2 linked regions of the Tamandua tetradactyla genome follow. The protein of the gene in region 2 purifies or fractionates together with the protein of the main gene of each other region. This does not show direct contact. Links are inferred from orthologs where the notes say so. Each region holds a gene or a part of one and is shown on either strand. Other genes may lie near its edges.

Region 1 (7,361 bases), on a different chromosome or scaffold from region 2:
CGTTACAATGTCTCCAAAACCAGCTTTACAGGCAAGCACACCAATGATGTTTCCAACTTCCATAAATTAGATGAGGAGGTAAGAATTTAGGAGCTGAAAGCAAAGAGGTCTAGTAGAATTGAGTGATGTAGTACAAAGGATGATCTCAACTCTGAGATTTTAGAAACAAATTACTTTTTTGTATTAACTTTCTAGGACTCCCATAACAAAGTACCCACTAACTGGGTGACTTAAAATCACAGAGATCTATTTCTCACCGTTCTGGACCCTAGAAGCCCAGAATCAAGGCGTCAGCAAGGTCATGCCCCCGTTGAAATCTCTAGGGAAGAATGTGTCCCATGCCTCCCACCTGGCTGCTGGTGGCCCCAGGGGGTGTCTTGGCTTATAGACACATCACTCCATTCTCCGCCTGTCCTAACATGGCCATCTTCCCTCTGTGGCTCTCTTCATACTGTGTTCTCCTCTGTGTCTATCTCTTTGACTCCTCTCTTCTTATAAGGACACCAACCATATTGAATTAAGAGCCCATGCCACTCCAGTATGACCTCGATGTAACTAACTACATACATCTGCAATGACTCTATTTCCAAATGAGGTCATAGTCTGAGGTACTGGAAGTTAAAACTCCAGCCCATCTTTTTTTTTGGGGGGGGGGGGAACACAATTCAACCCATAACACATTTCATGGAGTCTCAAGCCATGTTTAGGCAAGGTAAGAATCTAATAAAAAGCGGAACTTTAGAACTTTTATCATTTCTTCCACCTATTACCAAGACCTCTTCAGATACCACTGAAAGTTCTAATTCGTGTTTTCTGTCTTTATATGTCTAGATCCCACATTCCAAAAAGAAATCTTATATCCTATACCCACACTTTTCCACACAAAATCCTGGGGAAAGGTCTGATTCCTCAGGCATAGAGAAGTCTTGCTGAAATCGAAGGCAAGAGTACCCACTGTTTCCAGCAGGAAATAAGGTGACCAGAAAAGGAAAGAAAAGGCCACATGCAGTCGGAAGAAAGGAGGCTAGCTGACAGGATTAAAATAGCTCATAAGGAAACATCACAATGATGTCCCTTTCCCAGGCTTCTTCCCACCCAATGCCACAAAGAGCGATTTAAACAGTCCTTACCTTGATTTAAATAGAACTTTCATTGATCTATCCCAGCAATTAGGTGGCAAAGGTATAACCATTATCACCATGGAATCCAGAGCTCAGAGGGGTGAAAGAAAACCCATGCTCAAGATCACACCACTAGCAGAACAAGCGGGGAACCTAGGTCTTCAAATCCAGCACTCCTCTTCCTCCCACTATTCCATGCTACCTTTCCTGGCCACCCCATCTCAGAACTTCCATATTCTCATTCCATTTCTTCAGCTTTATGGAATGCTGCTTTCCTCTGTTCCAAGCTTTGACACTCAAGGATCTCAATGCTCTGCTTTAGAACATCCGTCGTTAATGCATCTAAAAGACATATTCTCCCCTGATAATTGGTGCCCACTATCCATCCCCAAAGTTTCACAAAAGGAAAGGAGGTTAGGAAACTAGCACAAAGCAGAAAGTCCACTGTTCCACATGCTTGAGGTCAAGTCACTGATATCAACTCAAGCAATCAGCGAAGTCTCCCCCTGGACACCAGGAACTTCTCACCTGATAACTTTACCTGATAACATTCAAGTCCCAACATTTCCAATAATCACCTGAAAATTAGCACAGAGGGGACATACAATGTGAGCTGAGCTATCCCGGCGATGGGCAGCTCTGAACCGCCACGGACTACCTTATAATCTGTAAGGAGGCAGAAACATTGAAGTTGATGCCTGGCCCCGGGAAACAGCCAGGTCCATGGTATTCCCCATAAGAAGCAACATTCTTTGCTCGCACCTATCAAAGAGGATAGTGGGAGTGGGAAGAAGGCAACTGTACATTCATTTCCAAGACAGAACCAAAATTGAGGCAAAACTTTCGGAATACGACGCCAGTTCACCGCAATACAAGTCCCTAAGGTAGTAATAAGTTTTTGCAACTCCCTACCCGCAGCGGCAACTAAGAGGCAGAGGAAGCGGGAGCCCGGACCGGGCAGGAAGTGGAAACCGAGGCCATTAGTGGGAAAAGGGAAGGAGCCGCACGAAGGGAGCGGCTGGGCCACTGCCCCGTCTCCTCCGCCCCAGGTTGGGCTGGAGGCCGCGGCCTCTCCGAGAGACCCCGTGCCCGGGCGTCGCCCTCCGCCGCCGGCCACCGCCGGGCCCAGCTCCGCGCGGACAGCGCGGGGGCAGGAGGCCCCGCGCCCCACTTCCCCGGCCCCCGCCCCGCCCCGCCCGAGGGGCCCTACCGGGCTGCGCGCCCTCACCTGGGAACGTCCCGCGCCGCCTCGCCCGTCCGCACCCGGCCCGCCGCCCTCAGGCCCGCCCCGCCCCACCCGTCGCCTCCTCCCGGGGCCGGACTCCAGCCGTCTCCCGCCGATTTGTCATGAAGCAGACCCGGCTCGCTTCCCCACCCCCCAAGCGCGCCCCCGACGTCGCCTAGGCAACCCCTCCTCTCGAGAGCGCGCCGTCCCTTCCGTTCCCGCCCTCCCCTCCGCAGGCCACGCCCGTCAGAAACCATCAGCCAACCCGAAACGGACGTGACTGGCAGCGGGCGGGGACAGAAGGCTGCGCCAATGAGAAGGCGCCTCAAGCGGGGGGGGGGGGGGGGGGGGGCGGTCTCAGCGCGCCGGCCCCGCCCACCCCATTGCCTTCCTAGGCACGTGACCGTTGCCGCAGCAGGGGTGCATGAACTGGTGCGGGGCGGTGAAGCTTGGGGTCTGCCCCCGGGCGCGGCTGGCGTCTTTGCCACCAAAAGGGAACCTATAAATGGAAACCAAGGCAAATTACGGAGCGGCAAGGTGTGCTGGCACGCGGGGTGGGGTGGGTGTGGGAGGCAGTTGAGACGCCGGCTGAGGGCCCCTGGGGCGGAACCCTACTTGCCGCCACGACGCACTCGACTAATGGCATCCCATTAGCAGTGGCGGAGCTCCTCGGCCGAGTCACACCCGGCACCGGCGCCCTCACCTTGCTCTCGGTCTGGAGGCAGGAAGTGCGGTGGGCGAACACTTGACACACAGGTTTTCTCCCACAACCCGGCCCCGCCCTCTGAAACCCCGGAACTTGTCATTTTCTGTCCAAATAGGGCTTCTCCTCGGGTTGACTTGCGGAACTAACTGCCCCTTCCTAGAGTCACCTCCTTCCGCCGTCACCTCCGCTGGTTTTGTGGCCCATTGCACCTTAAGCCTCCTTGGCGTGTCACCCTGGATGTCAGTGTTTTGATTAAATGTCAGTCTCTGTAATCTCTTAAGAATGGGAACTATCTCCTATCCAATTTTTTATCCACAGCAGTTAGCACGGTGTCTGCCTATAAATTAAATTAATTCATCCTTTCATTGTTGATACACATTAAGATACATAGGTATTATGTTAGAGGCTGTGTGGCTTGATTGGAGTCCCAGGCTCAAGGAACTAACGCATCTGTTCCTCCACCAACATCCATGTCAAAAAGTTCAGAAGCTTTACCTTCATCTGAAGTAATGGGTTTAACAAAAACATACAACCAGAAAAATATCTGACTATTTTATCTACATCTTGAGTATTCTTTTTATCTTCTCATTCAGTTAAAGACTAGATTTATTGACAGAAATCTGCCAGGTACTGTAAGAGAGAAGGGTTAGGCAGCTTCTCAAGAGGAGTATCTCTGGAGGGGGAATCATGTCTTTTTCTATGCAGGAATATAATTAAGTGTATAGGGTTGGAGTCGGGAAGCATAGATTCAAAGGACAGCTGTGCCTTATAACTAGAAGGTAATTAGGAAGTTGCCTAACCTCTCTGGACCTCAGTCTCCCCAACTGCCCAGACGTGGCCATACTTTACTGATAGGGGTGAAGATTTAAAAGAAATTGCAAGTAAGGCTCTGGGTACAGTGCTGGGAACCGGGGGAGTGCTCAGGGAATGTGAGCTTGAAGGATGCTTCCACCAGAGGCCCCTTTGTACACCCCAGTGTGTCAGAACCCACCCTGGGATGGTGTTTCCTCCCAAGGCCCTGCTGTACCTGGGACTATACAGCACCGTCATTACAAATGTACATGCTCCGTGCAGCCGGGGGGAAGGCCTAGTGTAAGGACCTGCTGTATTCAGCTCTTGGGACAGGACACGCCCTTAACTGGCTGTAGCAGATTCAGAGAGGAGTGGCACAACCCTTTTGAAGGAGCTGTCTCACAGAGGACATCAGCCCAGAAATGTGTCCTGCCAGAGGGAGAACACTGGTAGGCCACGGGGCTCAGCTACCTCTGGGATTGCCAGGAGATGCTCTTGTCTGCTGGAACACTGACTCCTGGCAGAGCAGGGGCCCAAATGGCAGGAGCCTGGGAGGTCTTCCTACCCTTTAGCAGCTGTGCAGAAAACACTCTAGATCTTCTCTCCTCCAAGAGTATTTATTAAGTACTGTGCTGATCTTCAGTGCTACTTGCCACGTATTTCCACTTTACCATCCTGAATACTGGGCAGCTCCATCCAACCCATAGGAGCACCCTGTGTGGTTGGATGGGGCCCTGTGACTGAGTCCAACCAATAAGTTGTGAGCCAAAGTGACACATTAATCATTTCTGGGCTGGAGAATGTGATTGCCAGTTCAATTTTTCTCTGTACAGCCACTGAGAATGTTTGAGAGGGTGGCTGCTCCATCAGCCTGGGTGCCTACAATGGACAGAGACCCCTGCCAAGCTGTGGTGGGCATTAGCATGAGAAGTAAATCTTTTTTATTATTATGGAACTTGAGGGGTTACAGAAAAATCATGCATACAATACAGGGTTCCCATTTAACTCCCTCTTTTTTGTTGTTGTTTGTTTTTTTAATTTTTTATTTAAAAAAATTATGGAAAAGAAACACAAACATTCTTAATATATGTGTATTCCATTCTACATATATAATCAGTAATTCACAATATCACATAGTTGCATATTCATCATCATGATAATTTCTTAGAACGTTTGCATCAATTCAGAAAAAGAAATAAAAAGATAACAAAAATAAAACGAAAACAAAAAAGAAATTTGCATACCATACGTTTTACCGCTCCCTTTCATTGATCATTAGCATTTCAAGCTAAATTTATTTTAACATTTGTTCCCCCTATTATTTATTTTTATTACATATGGTCTAATCATCTGTTGACAAGGTAGATAAAAGGAGCATCAGACACAAGGTTTTCACAATCACACAGTCACATTGTGAAAGCTATATCATACAATCATCATTAAGAAACATGGCTACAGGAACACAGCTCCACATTTTCAGGCAGTTCCCTCCAACCTCTCCATTACATCTTGGATGATAGGGTGATATCTACTTAATGTGTAAGAATAACCTCCAGGATAACCTCTCGACTCTGTTTGAAATCTCTCAGCCATTGACACTTTGTCTCATTTCACTCTTCCCCCTTTTGGTCCAGAAGGTTTTCTCAATCCCTTGATGCTGAGTCTCAGCTCATTCTAGAGTTTTTCTCAATCACTTGATGCTGAATCTCAGCTCATTCTGGGATTTCTGTCCCACGTTGCAGGAAGATCCGTACCCCTGGGAGTCATGTCCCACATAGACAGGGGGAGGTAGTGAGTTCTTTGTTGTGTTGGCTGGAGAGAGAGGCCACATCTGTTAACTCCCTCTTATTAACAGCTTGCATTGGTGTGGCACATTTGTTACAACTGAAATGAGAAATCATTGTGGTTTGGAACACTATGATTTGGAAGCTGTTTGTTACACAGCATAGCTTAGCCTGCTCTGACCGCTGCTAGGCCATACGGTGTGCCAAGCCTGGAGCTGGGGACAGGGAGGTGAATGGCTCAGTCAAGAGAACAGATAATAAGCCAGTAGCTTATCAGCTATGGCCACTCAACAATTATCCACTGTGTAATTGCAAATTATTTTAGATAGAGTGGCCAAAAAAGTTCTCTTTTGTTGGCATTTAGTCTGTGACCTAAGGATGAGGAGGAGTCAGTCTTGCAGAGGTAGGGGTGAGGGGAGGCAGAGGAATGAGGGGTGCAAAGCCCCAAGGCAGAAGAGGCTTGGTACCCCTGGGGACACAAGGGGCTGTATGGAGTGCAGTGAGGCCTGGGGAGCTGGAAGCAGGAGCCAGATGCCTAGTCCTTCCTCTAGGCATCCGAAGTGATCCCAAGTGTGGCAGGAAGTTGCCGAGAAGGTTCAAGCCAGGAAGGTAACTGCTTGCAGTTTTAAGAAGATCGTTCTGTGCCCTGCGGGAGACCAGGTTCAAGTCCCAGCCCATGCACACACTCTCCCCGCTGCCCCCCCCCCCCAAAAAAAATCACTCTGGCTATTGTGTGGAGACAGGGCTGGGGGCGGGGGGTGCAGACCAATGTGAGAACTTCTGCCATAGGTCCAGGTAACATGGGGGCCAGAGGCTAGCCAAGGTAATCTGCCCTCAGGTAACAGGAGACCACTGGAGCAGGGGAGCAAGAAAGCTGGAGGCTAAACCAGAAGAGCCCTCCTGCAAATCCCAGAGGAGCCAGAGGCACGGTTTGAAGACTGGATCCCCAGGAATGCTTTGGCCTCAGGGAGATGAGTGCTTGGAAGCCAGGCAGAAACAAGGAGTGTGTGAAGAGGGACAGCTGAACAGTTTCCTGGAGTCTCAGCCCCCAGGAGAGACTCGTTTCCGCAAGCCAGCAGTATTATATAAATAGAGGGTATTATTATAAAGAGTCTGACACACTCCAGCAGCCCCCATGGGCATTTGACTAAGGTAACCACCTTAGAAAGGAAAAGGGGCTGCCAGTCTATGGGGGTGGGGTGGGGGGTGGAGTCATTCCTGCCTACTGAAGGTTATAGGAAAAATCTAAGCCGTAAAAGTAAATGGAGTTCACTTTCAGCACTTCAGTCTTCTCTATTCTGTGCCCAGGTGTTCTCTCCCAACTTCTGGTTGTCTAATCCTGTCTCAGGAAGGGGTTGCAGGGACTCATTCAGGGGCAGGAATCCTTAGTAAGGACAACTCTAAGTGGGCCCACTTCTTCCTAGACATTTGCCTCGTCCAGTTGCTCAAACCCCAGGGGAATTAGATAGGGGACAGCCACATATTACTAGGATGCATTGAATTATTCCTCCTTGAGAAAAGGTTCAAACTCCTGAGTTCTCCCCCAGGACCCCAGGGAAGGGTCCAACACTTTTGGAATCCTCCCACGAAGCCTGGGTGATTTCCCCCAAGCTCCTTTCCTTCCAGCCTTTTGGAGGCAGCTACCAAGAAAAAAGCCCCTGGTATTTACACCTTCAAAATCTTAACTTTTTTGCTCAGTTCAGCAATTGCCAGTCTAACAGGTTTGCCAGGAG
Region 2 (7,937 bases):
AGTGAAGTGGGAAACTTTTCACAATATACTTTAAACTCTATGTATTTACAGATATTATTTCTCTGTGTTACATAACATATACTGTGAGAAAGTGTATGTTGATTCAAAGGATAACGTGAAATACTATAGTGTGGCCATAGAGAATTAGCATATTTTAAAAGGAAAGAATATTTTATGTTTTAATAATTCCATTGTTTTTGTTATTTTTGCTTAACTTCTTTTTTTCTTTTGATTTGGTATTTCTGAGAGAACATCAATTTTTAAGCTATGTTGAGGCCAATAAAGATATGCTAATGTAACGTAATATAAATATAAATAATACACAAGTAAGTTATATACATATGTATAAACAGATCCAAGCATCAGACTACTGATGTTGTACTTTCGGGATTCACACGGATGAGTCTGGATGCATTCCTCAGGTCTTGGAGTTGCTTGGCTGGTTTCCCCACACCTTCTTCAAACCTTTTCTCCACTACAGGGAGGACAGTTTCATACAGGAAGGATGCATTCTGCCTGATAAAGGCCTTCTTCTCTGGATCCTGCTCACACCGAAGACTATAATCCACATGCTGGACGGCAACCAAAATAATTTCCACCAGACTCTCCAAAAGGACCATGTGCAGCTCTGGGAAGTACAGCTTCAGCGCCTCTTCCAGAAAACCCATGGTCTGTTTGGTGAAAGCAACCACGGTGTAACTTAGGTTCACCCAACAGTCATCCCCAGTGTACTGCTCAAAATTACTTACCCCACAACTTTTCATCTCTTCTTTGAGTTTACCCAGGGCCTCTGGAGTCATCAAGTTCATTCTCCTCCACATCTCTTCAGAGTTGCGATGTTTAGTGGCTTCGATTATGATTTCTTTGTAACTGTGCAAGGCCCCTTGAATATCTTTCACGAGAAGGGCATGGATGATGAAGGTCAGGTCTAGTCCCTTATCACCCAGTAGCTGACACTGATCCTTAGCCACCTTTACACACTCAGCTGCTGTTGAGAGGCTCTCTTTGCTATCAAACACTTGCTTGCTAAAAGCATCCACAAACATGCCCATGGCTGACCGTGCCCAGACCACAAAGGCGGAGCAGCAGCCACTGTCAGTGCCTGCAAAATCTGTCTCAAACTCCCTTGCAGTCTCAAGAAGGCTGTTAAAGAAGACATGGCATAGCTTATGAATATAGAGTAAAGTGGCACCTTCGATGCGCAGCTGACGTATGGCAGTATGTACAGCTGCTGCCCTGTTTCTCAAAAACAGTTCACAAGCCTTGGTGCACTGGCCAAGCCGGATTAGTTGAGAAACTGCCCTACGAGTAGCCTTGGGACCACCTCTCAGGGAACGATCGGGAGAGAGTTCAAAAACTAATACCTCCGTGAGCTGACGAACGCGCTCATCCACTTTGGCCCTTAGTTCTTTTACAGGCGGGGGACTGGGCTTATCTTCCAGGTAGTGGTTCAATTTATCCAGCAGATCAACGGCCCCTTCGAAGTCCCTCTGGGCAATACAGACATCCAGGTCTTCAGGTAACTCCTGGATCCATTCCACTGAGAGGTCCACCCTCTCTTCCTCTACCTCCGGAACAGTTAGTTCTTCTTCTTCATCCTCCTCAAATGGGTTGCTGGCCTTGGAAGTCACTTGGGGTGGCCCTCGAGGGGCCGCTGCCTCCTCTTGCTCCCTACGTCTTTTCTCACTGAGGGCCCTCTTGGTTTCCTCCAGCACTTCCAGCCACTCCCGCTTGATTTTAGCATTTTCCGCCTGAAAGATACGGCTCTCGGGGAACATGAGCAACTTGAACATGTCCTTCATGGGTGGGTTATCCTTGACATTGACCACAGCCAGGCCATCTAGGGGATAGAGAGCGTTGTAGCGATACATTCCCCGCCGCTGCGGCAGCCAGGTGGCCACCAGCAAACAGTCGTTCATGAGAAAGCCATGCACTCGCTGCAGCTGGGCCATGTGGTCCGCCTCGTATTCCACCAGATCTCCGTTGTACACCAGGTATTGGCCCGGTGTCTCCAGCAGGTGCCGGCAGCCTTCCACCTTCTCAAGCAGGGTGGTGAGCGTGCGCTGCTTCCCTTCCTCACCCAAACTTGAACCGTCCCGGGAGGCGCCTCCCGGGGTGGGAAAAAAGCCAGCCTGGCCTCGGAGGTGGTCTCGGCTGCCCGGCCCCCCTGCTCCCTCCTCCCCTCCGGAGGCCGAGGCGGCCCCAGCGACCGCGGCGGCGGCGGCGGCGGGAAGCAGGGTAAGCGGGATGCTCTCCAGGCTGCTCTTCTGCTCGGTAAGCAGATGACTAAGTTGATACATCTCGCTCTCCAAGTAGGAGATCTCGCGGGCCGTCTCGATGAATTGCCGGTAGTTCTGGTATACGTTGCGCTTTAGGTTCTGCGCCGTCTCCTCTGCCAGCGCCTGGATGCGCTGCCGGTGCTCCTGCAGGTCCCGGTCCCCGTCCGACTGCTGCGAGAGTTGCTTCACGTACAGACTCGCCTCAAAGCCACCTGACTCCAGCTGCCGCCGCAAACGGCTTGCCCCACTGTCCGACATCGCCATGGCCATTTCCGTTCGGGTCTCAAGCAGTCACTGTCACTATCACCGCCGACACCACAATCAAGACCCACCCAATCCGGACAGAGGCCCGGGGCTGCGTAAGCCGGGCGGAAACGAGACGTGTGCGCCTGCGCCCGGGTTTGAGCTCCAAACAATGCGCCTGCGCAAGGGGGGGTGGTGGTGGCGGCACACAGACAGTGCGCCTGCGCAGAAAAGCCAGCTGTTGAGGTGCCTGCGCCGAGTCAGCTGTTGCGGAAGTGAGTGGAGGGCGGAGGCGGAGGGATATAGGTACTGCGCGGAGGTCTGTGTGACGTGAGATGTTCGAAGTTAGAGGCAAGTCCGGGGACTGGAAAGGCAAAACCAGCTTCCTGAAACCTTTCTCTGGGCCGAACCCTGAAAATCCAAGTTTTGCGCCAAGTAGGAGGTGTCATGCTAGTTGTTTTTTTTAAAAAACCCCCAAATCTTGGCTACGACGTTTGGTCCCAGCTTAACTCTCGTTCTCGTTCTAAAGCCAGTTTTCCCCGAATTCTCGCGATTGTGGCGGGATAACACGAGAGCAGCCTGGGAGCCGCTATCTCCTAGGAGTTCGACTAGGGCCCTGCGAGCATTTGTGACTCGCCGCCGAGTCTGGGAGCAGCTTCCCCCGGGTTTGTGCTTTGAGTTCCGGGCAGCGATGGACGAGGACTTAGTGTTGGCGCTACAGCTGCAGGAGGAATGGGACTTGCAGACCGCAGGGCGCGATAAGGCCCAGGAGCCCCTGTCGTTGGTGGACGCGTCGTGGGAGCTGGTGGACCCCACCCCAGATTTGCAGGCCCTGTTTGTTCAGTTCAACGATCGTTTCTTCTGGGGCCAACTGGAGGCCGTGGAGGTGAAGTGGAGCATGCGCATGACCCTGTGAGTCAGGAGCCCCTGGGTGGGCGGGTCTCGGAGGTCTGCTGCTTCGGGCCTTGGGACTCTGCTTTCTCAGCCTTGATGGTCTCGGGGCACGTTAATCGAGGGGGTCTGGTTCTGGACCAAGTAGCTCCTTAGTGTATTTGTCCCTTTCTTGCCCAGTCTCTCGCTCAAACAACGCTGTGTTACGGCTCACAATAAGGGAAATAAGAGAAAAGAACTTTTTTTTTGAAACTCACTTCGCTTGATAATAAATGAACATATTTCTGATTTGTCTTATGGTAGCGCTTTAGGATCTAGGAGGAGGGAACAACCAAAGTCTGACCCTAGTTAAAAGTGCTGAGGAAGCACAGAAGCCTCCAAAGGGTGTGTGTTGTGGGTTATCCTCTTCTCTACTCAGTAAGATACCTTCGCTAAGTAGTGATGGCATGTGTTAGAATGAAGAAGGAGTTGACATTTGTCTTTATCTGGACCCAGGGGATCTTCAGTGGCGCCCATAAAAGGATTTCTTTCTGCACTTAAGAATTGAGAAATCCACATTTGAAAGAATCATCTATTCCTGCGCATGAAAGGGGTTAACAAGTGTATGATGCAGTTTGCATATCAGCATGCATGTTTTTGAATTGTTAACAAACATAACCTACAGATAGGATATGATATCAAGTTGTGCTTAAAGTACAACTCTCCTTCATATAACCTACTATAATTTTGGAGATGTGCTACTGGAGTAGGTGTGTGCCTAATACCACCAGCGGCTGATTACAACTTGTAGGGAGTAGACTGGGAGTAGATGAACAGGATTATCTTCTTTGACCAGTTGTAGCCTGGCTAGGGTAGGGAAGCCATTTCTGTTGACTTATCTCCCTAGCTGGGGTGACGTGTAAATATCTCATAACAAAGAGAGTATACTTTCAAGAAAGACATCTGCCAGTAGAATTTTCTTAGTGTGAGCTGCCCAGGAATGTATAAGGATTTGCTCTTTCATCTGTTTCCCTTTTGGTGTGCATTTAGTGATGTAACAAATTTTTGTGGTTGTTTTCCAGGTGTGCTGGGGTATGCAGCTATGAAGGGAGAGGTGGAATGTGTTCCATTCGTCTCAGTGAACCCCTTTTAAAATTGAGACCCCGAAAGGATCTTGTAGAGGTAATCTTTGCATCCATACAATTTTTAGCTCAGTAATTTAGATATGCTTACAGTGATTTAGAGTACTGTGCATTTTTAAAAAATCACTTCTCCCTTTACTTTTTCTTTCTTTTTTTTTTTTTTGCATGGGCAGTCACTGGGAATCGAACCTGGGTCTCTGACATGGCAGGCAAGAACTCTGCCTGCTGAGCCACCATGGCCCACCCTTCCCTTTATATTTTTATCTGTGGGTTAAATAATAATAGTAGTTGCCTTATATTTTGTATAGTGCTTCAGAGCTATAAAAGGCTTTCAGATATATTATCCCACTTGATCTTTACAGCAATCCTTTTGATGTTCAGTGTATGTTATCCTCATTTTTATAAATGAGGAAATTAAAGTTCAGAGAATTAAGTGATTAAGTTACATAATTAGAAGCACAAGGGAAAAAAAGCTTAGGAACAAAGTTTTCCTGCTTTGACATGCACATTTTATTCAACTGCCACAGTGTTGTCATCCCAGGACACTTAACTGAACTAGCAGCACAAAGTATAGAAATAGTTGTTTAACATTATTATGAAAAGTTGAGAAACTTTTGAAATGTAGAATGGGTCTTGATAGAGTGACTTGAAAAATCAAGTTCGTTTTGAGAGAGACAACTGATAACTTAAAAAGAGATATTTTTATGATGACCAACTTAAAATCTTTGATTCTCCTATTTTTCTGTTCAGCATAATTTTATAAGACTAAAAATTTAATTAAATTAATGCCAGCCTAGTTCTTCTGATGAAACTTCTTTGTTTAATAAAAGAGGATTATAAAAATGCTACACTTTTGAAGACTTTTGTGATTTTCATTAAGAAGTGGTATGCATAATGAGTTTTTTTATTTTAAAATTTTACGTGATTCATTTTATGTGGTTCAGAACTCTAGTAAGTTATACACAGAAATCTTGTTCTCTTGTCGTCCTCCCAATTTGACCTTCCCACCCACTATAGGGAACTGTTGGTACTAGTTTCATATTTTTTCCTTGTTCTGTTTTGCAAATATTTATATTCACTTCTTCCCTGTCTCTGCCACACTGCACACTTACACAAAATGTGTTATGTACGCTCTTAACATTCTTTGCCTTTTTCATAGCCATCATTTTCTTTCTTTTTTATACCTACACAGAATTCTGTGATGTGGATATTCCATAGTACAGTCAGCCAGTCCCCGCTTTCTAAACGCTTAGAATATATCCAGTCTTTTGTCATTATGAATAATGCCAAAATGAATACACCTTGTACAAATGATCTTTCATATCAATTTAGGTATCACTGGGCCAAAGTATGCATGAATTTTAAATTTTGTCAGATGTTACCAAGTTCTTTTTAGGGGTTGTAGCATTTTGAACTCCCACCAGTGATATATGGGAATGTTTATTTTCCCATAGCATTACTAACAGTGTCAAACTTTAGTAGCTTTAATCAGTCTTGATAAGCAAGAAATGGTATCCTATAGTAGTATTAATTTGCATTTCTCTTATGAGTTTGAACATCTTTTGATATTTATGTGTCATTTATATTTCTTTTTCTGTGAACTATCCATGATCTTCGCCAATTTTAAAGTTGGGTTGTTGGTCATTTCCCTTTTGACTTTAGCTCTTTATGTAATAGGATATTAATAGTCTGACTCAGTTACACATATGTTTTTTTTACTCTCCTTATGATTTTTTTCCCCATATGAAATTTTAAAGTTTTTGTGTAGTTGAGTTCATCAGATTTTTATTCTGGATTTTGATTAAGAATTTAAAAGGCCTTTTTGGAACAGAGAGTCTTAACCTGTGTTCTGCAGAGCTTTGGATATCATTTGCAAAGTTTTGTAAATGTATGTGTATGTAATTTTTCTGGCAAGATGGTTCATGACTTTTATGTTTCTGAAAGGAGCCTGTGATTCAGATAAAATTAAGACCTCCAGGTAGAATAAGAAAATGCAGATATACATTTTTATTTTAAAAGTGCCGTTTCAAATTCTTTTGTTTTCTGTTTCAGACCCTCTTGCATGAAATGATACATGCTTACTTATTTGTCACTAATAATGATAAGGACCGGGAAGGGCATGGTCCAGAGTTTTGTAAACATATGCATCGCATCAACCGCCTGACAGGAGCCAATATAACGGTATATTAAGACATACTTAATGATACTTTGTATTTATTTCTTGAGATAACTCGTGGGATTTAATTAAAAATAGAAAATTGGTAGTACCAAACATCTTTGACCATTTTCACCTGCAAACTAGAGGCTTGGAGAAGCTGATTGACTTATCTAGGACCCCAGAATCGAATGGCAGCAAAGCCAGAATTTTATCTGAGGCCTCTGACATCATCCAGGTTAACATCTTACATGTAGTTAATTTAGGCTTGTAATTATGTCTAATTACATAAGCTTGAACTATGTCAATTGTCTCTTAACTTTGTTTACTTATTATGGTCTCCTTCAAACCATCCTATATTCTCCCATTTCATATGTCAGTCTTTTCGTCAGAAGCCTTCTTTGATTCCACATTGACGATGGAATTAAGAACAAACATCTCAGCATAGTATTATAGGAGGCAGCGTTAGCCTGGGGTTAAAGAAGCATGAGGAAGCAGATTGCCTATGTTCAAATCCTAGATCCACCAGTTACTAACCTAACTCTTCTGTGCCTCATTTAACTCACTTTTAAAATGGGGATAACAATACCTATCTATTGGTTCCTTATGAGAACTAAAGGAACATTTTAGCACACTTTGAGCACTAATTAAATAGTAGTTGTTTTTATTATTAGTTTTAATTTTATAAGATAATCTTATTGTTTCTTTTTTCCCACCTCTCACAACTCCCCTGCGTGTGTTCTATGTTCCTGTCTAACTGAACTTTTTACCTCCATGCCTTTCCTCATATATCCCATTTCTTCTGTTTTCTGTCCAAATGCCCTTTTTCTTTCCAATTGGATATGACTTCGCCCTCCTTTGAATTTCCTAGCAGATGTTTAACCTCTTGCAATTCTGTATTCTACTTGCATATCTCTGAAGTCTAGTCTTTTTTTTTGAAGCAAGATGTATAATTTAGTATCCTTACAAGAGTTTAACAAATACAGAGTTGAATGGGGCCAAATAGAATTATTAATTTCTACATGATTATATTCTGTAGTGTAATTGGGTATGTGCTTCCATCGAAAGGCAATAAAATGTAAAGTACTCACCCTCCATTTATTACTCTTTTCTTTAATATTCTGGATTTAATTATTGGATGCACAGTTACTTCAATATCAGAAAAGTGGCCTGCATTAAAAATAATCAGACATAAAATCCAGATTAGCAAAAAAAATTATGATGTGTAAAAATTTTGTAGTTTCTTCA

Evidence for each region. The genes of interacting proteins can lie anywhere in the genome.
Region 1: the proteins of EXOC8 (region 2) and RALB purify together in Homo sapiens (affinity purification with western blotting; 6 studies listed by BioGRID and IntAct, counting the BioPlex papers as one, with this or other methods). This does not show direct contact. The link is inferred for Tamandua tetradactyla from reciprocal best matches to the Homo sapiens genes EXOC8 and RALB.

The regions. Positions count from the first base shown.
Region 1 is NC_135329.1:93,271,772-93,279,132, forward strand, and holds the start of RALB (ras-related protein Ral-B), read right to left. Parts: upstream 3,048-7,361; 5' UTR 2,962-3,047; intron 2,503-2,961; exon of another isoform or gene 2,350-2,502; intron 1-2,349. UniProt on the Homo sapiens protein: Multifunctional GTPase involved in a variety of cellular processes including gene expression, cell migration, cell proliferation, oncogenic transformation and membrane trafficking.
Region 2 is NC_135333.1:1,008,835-1,016,771, forward strand, and holds the start of EXOC8 (exocyst complex component 8), read right to left. Parts: upstream 3,065-7,937; 5' UTR 2,550-3,064; coding exon 363-2,549; 3' UTR 1-362. Other genes in the region: DNA-dependent metalloprotease SPRTN, read left to right, coding at 3,214-3,434, 4,475-4,574, 6,587-6,715. UniProt on the Homo sapiens protein: Component of the exocyst complex involved in the docking of exocytic vesicles with fusion sites on the plasma membrane.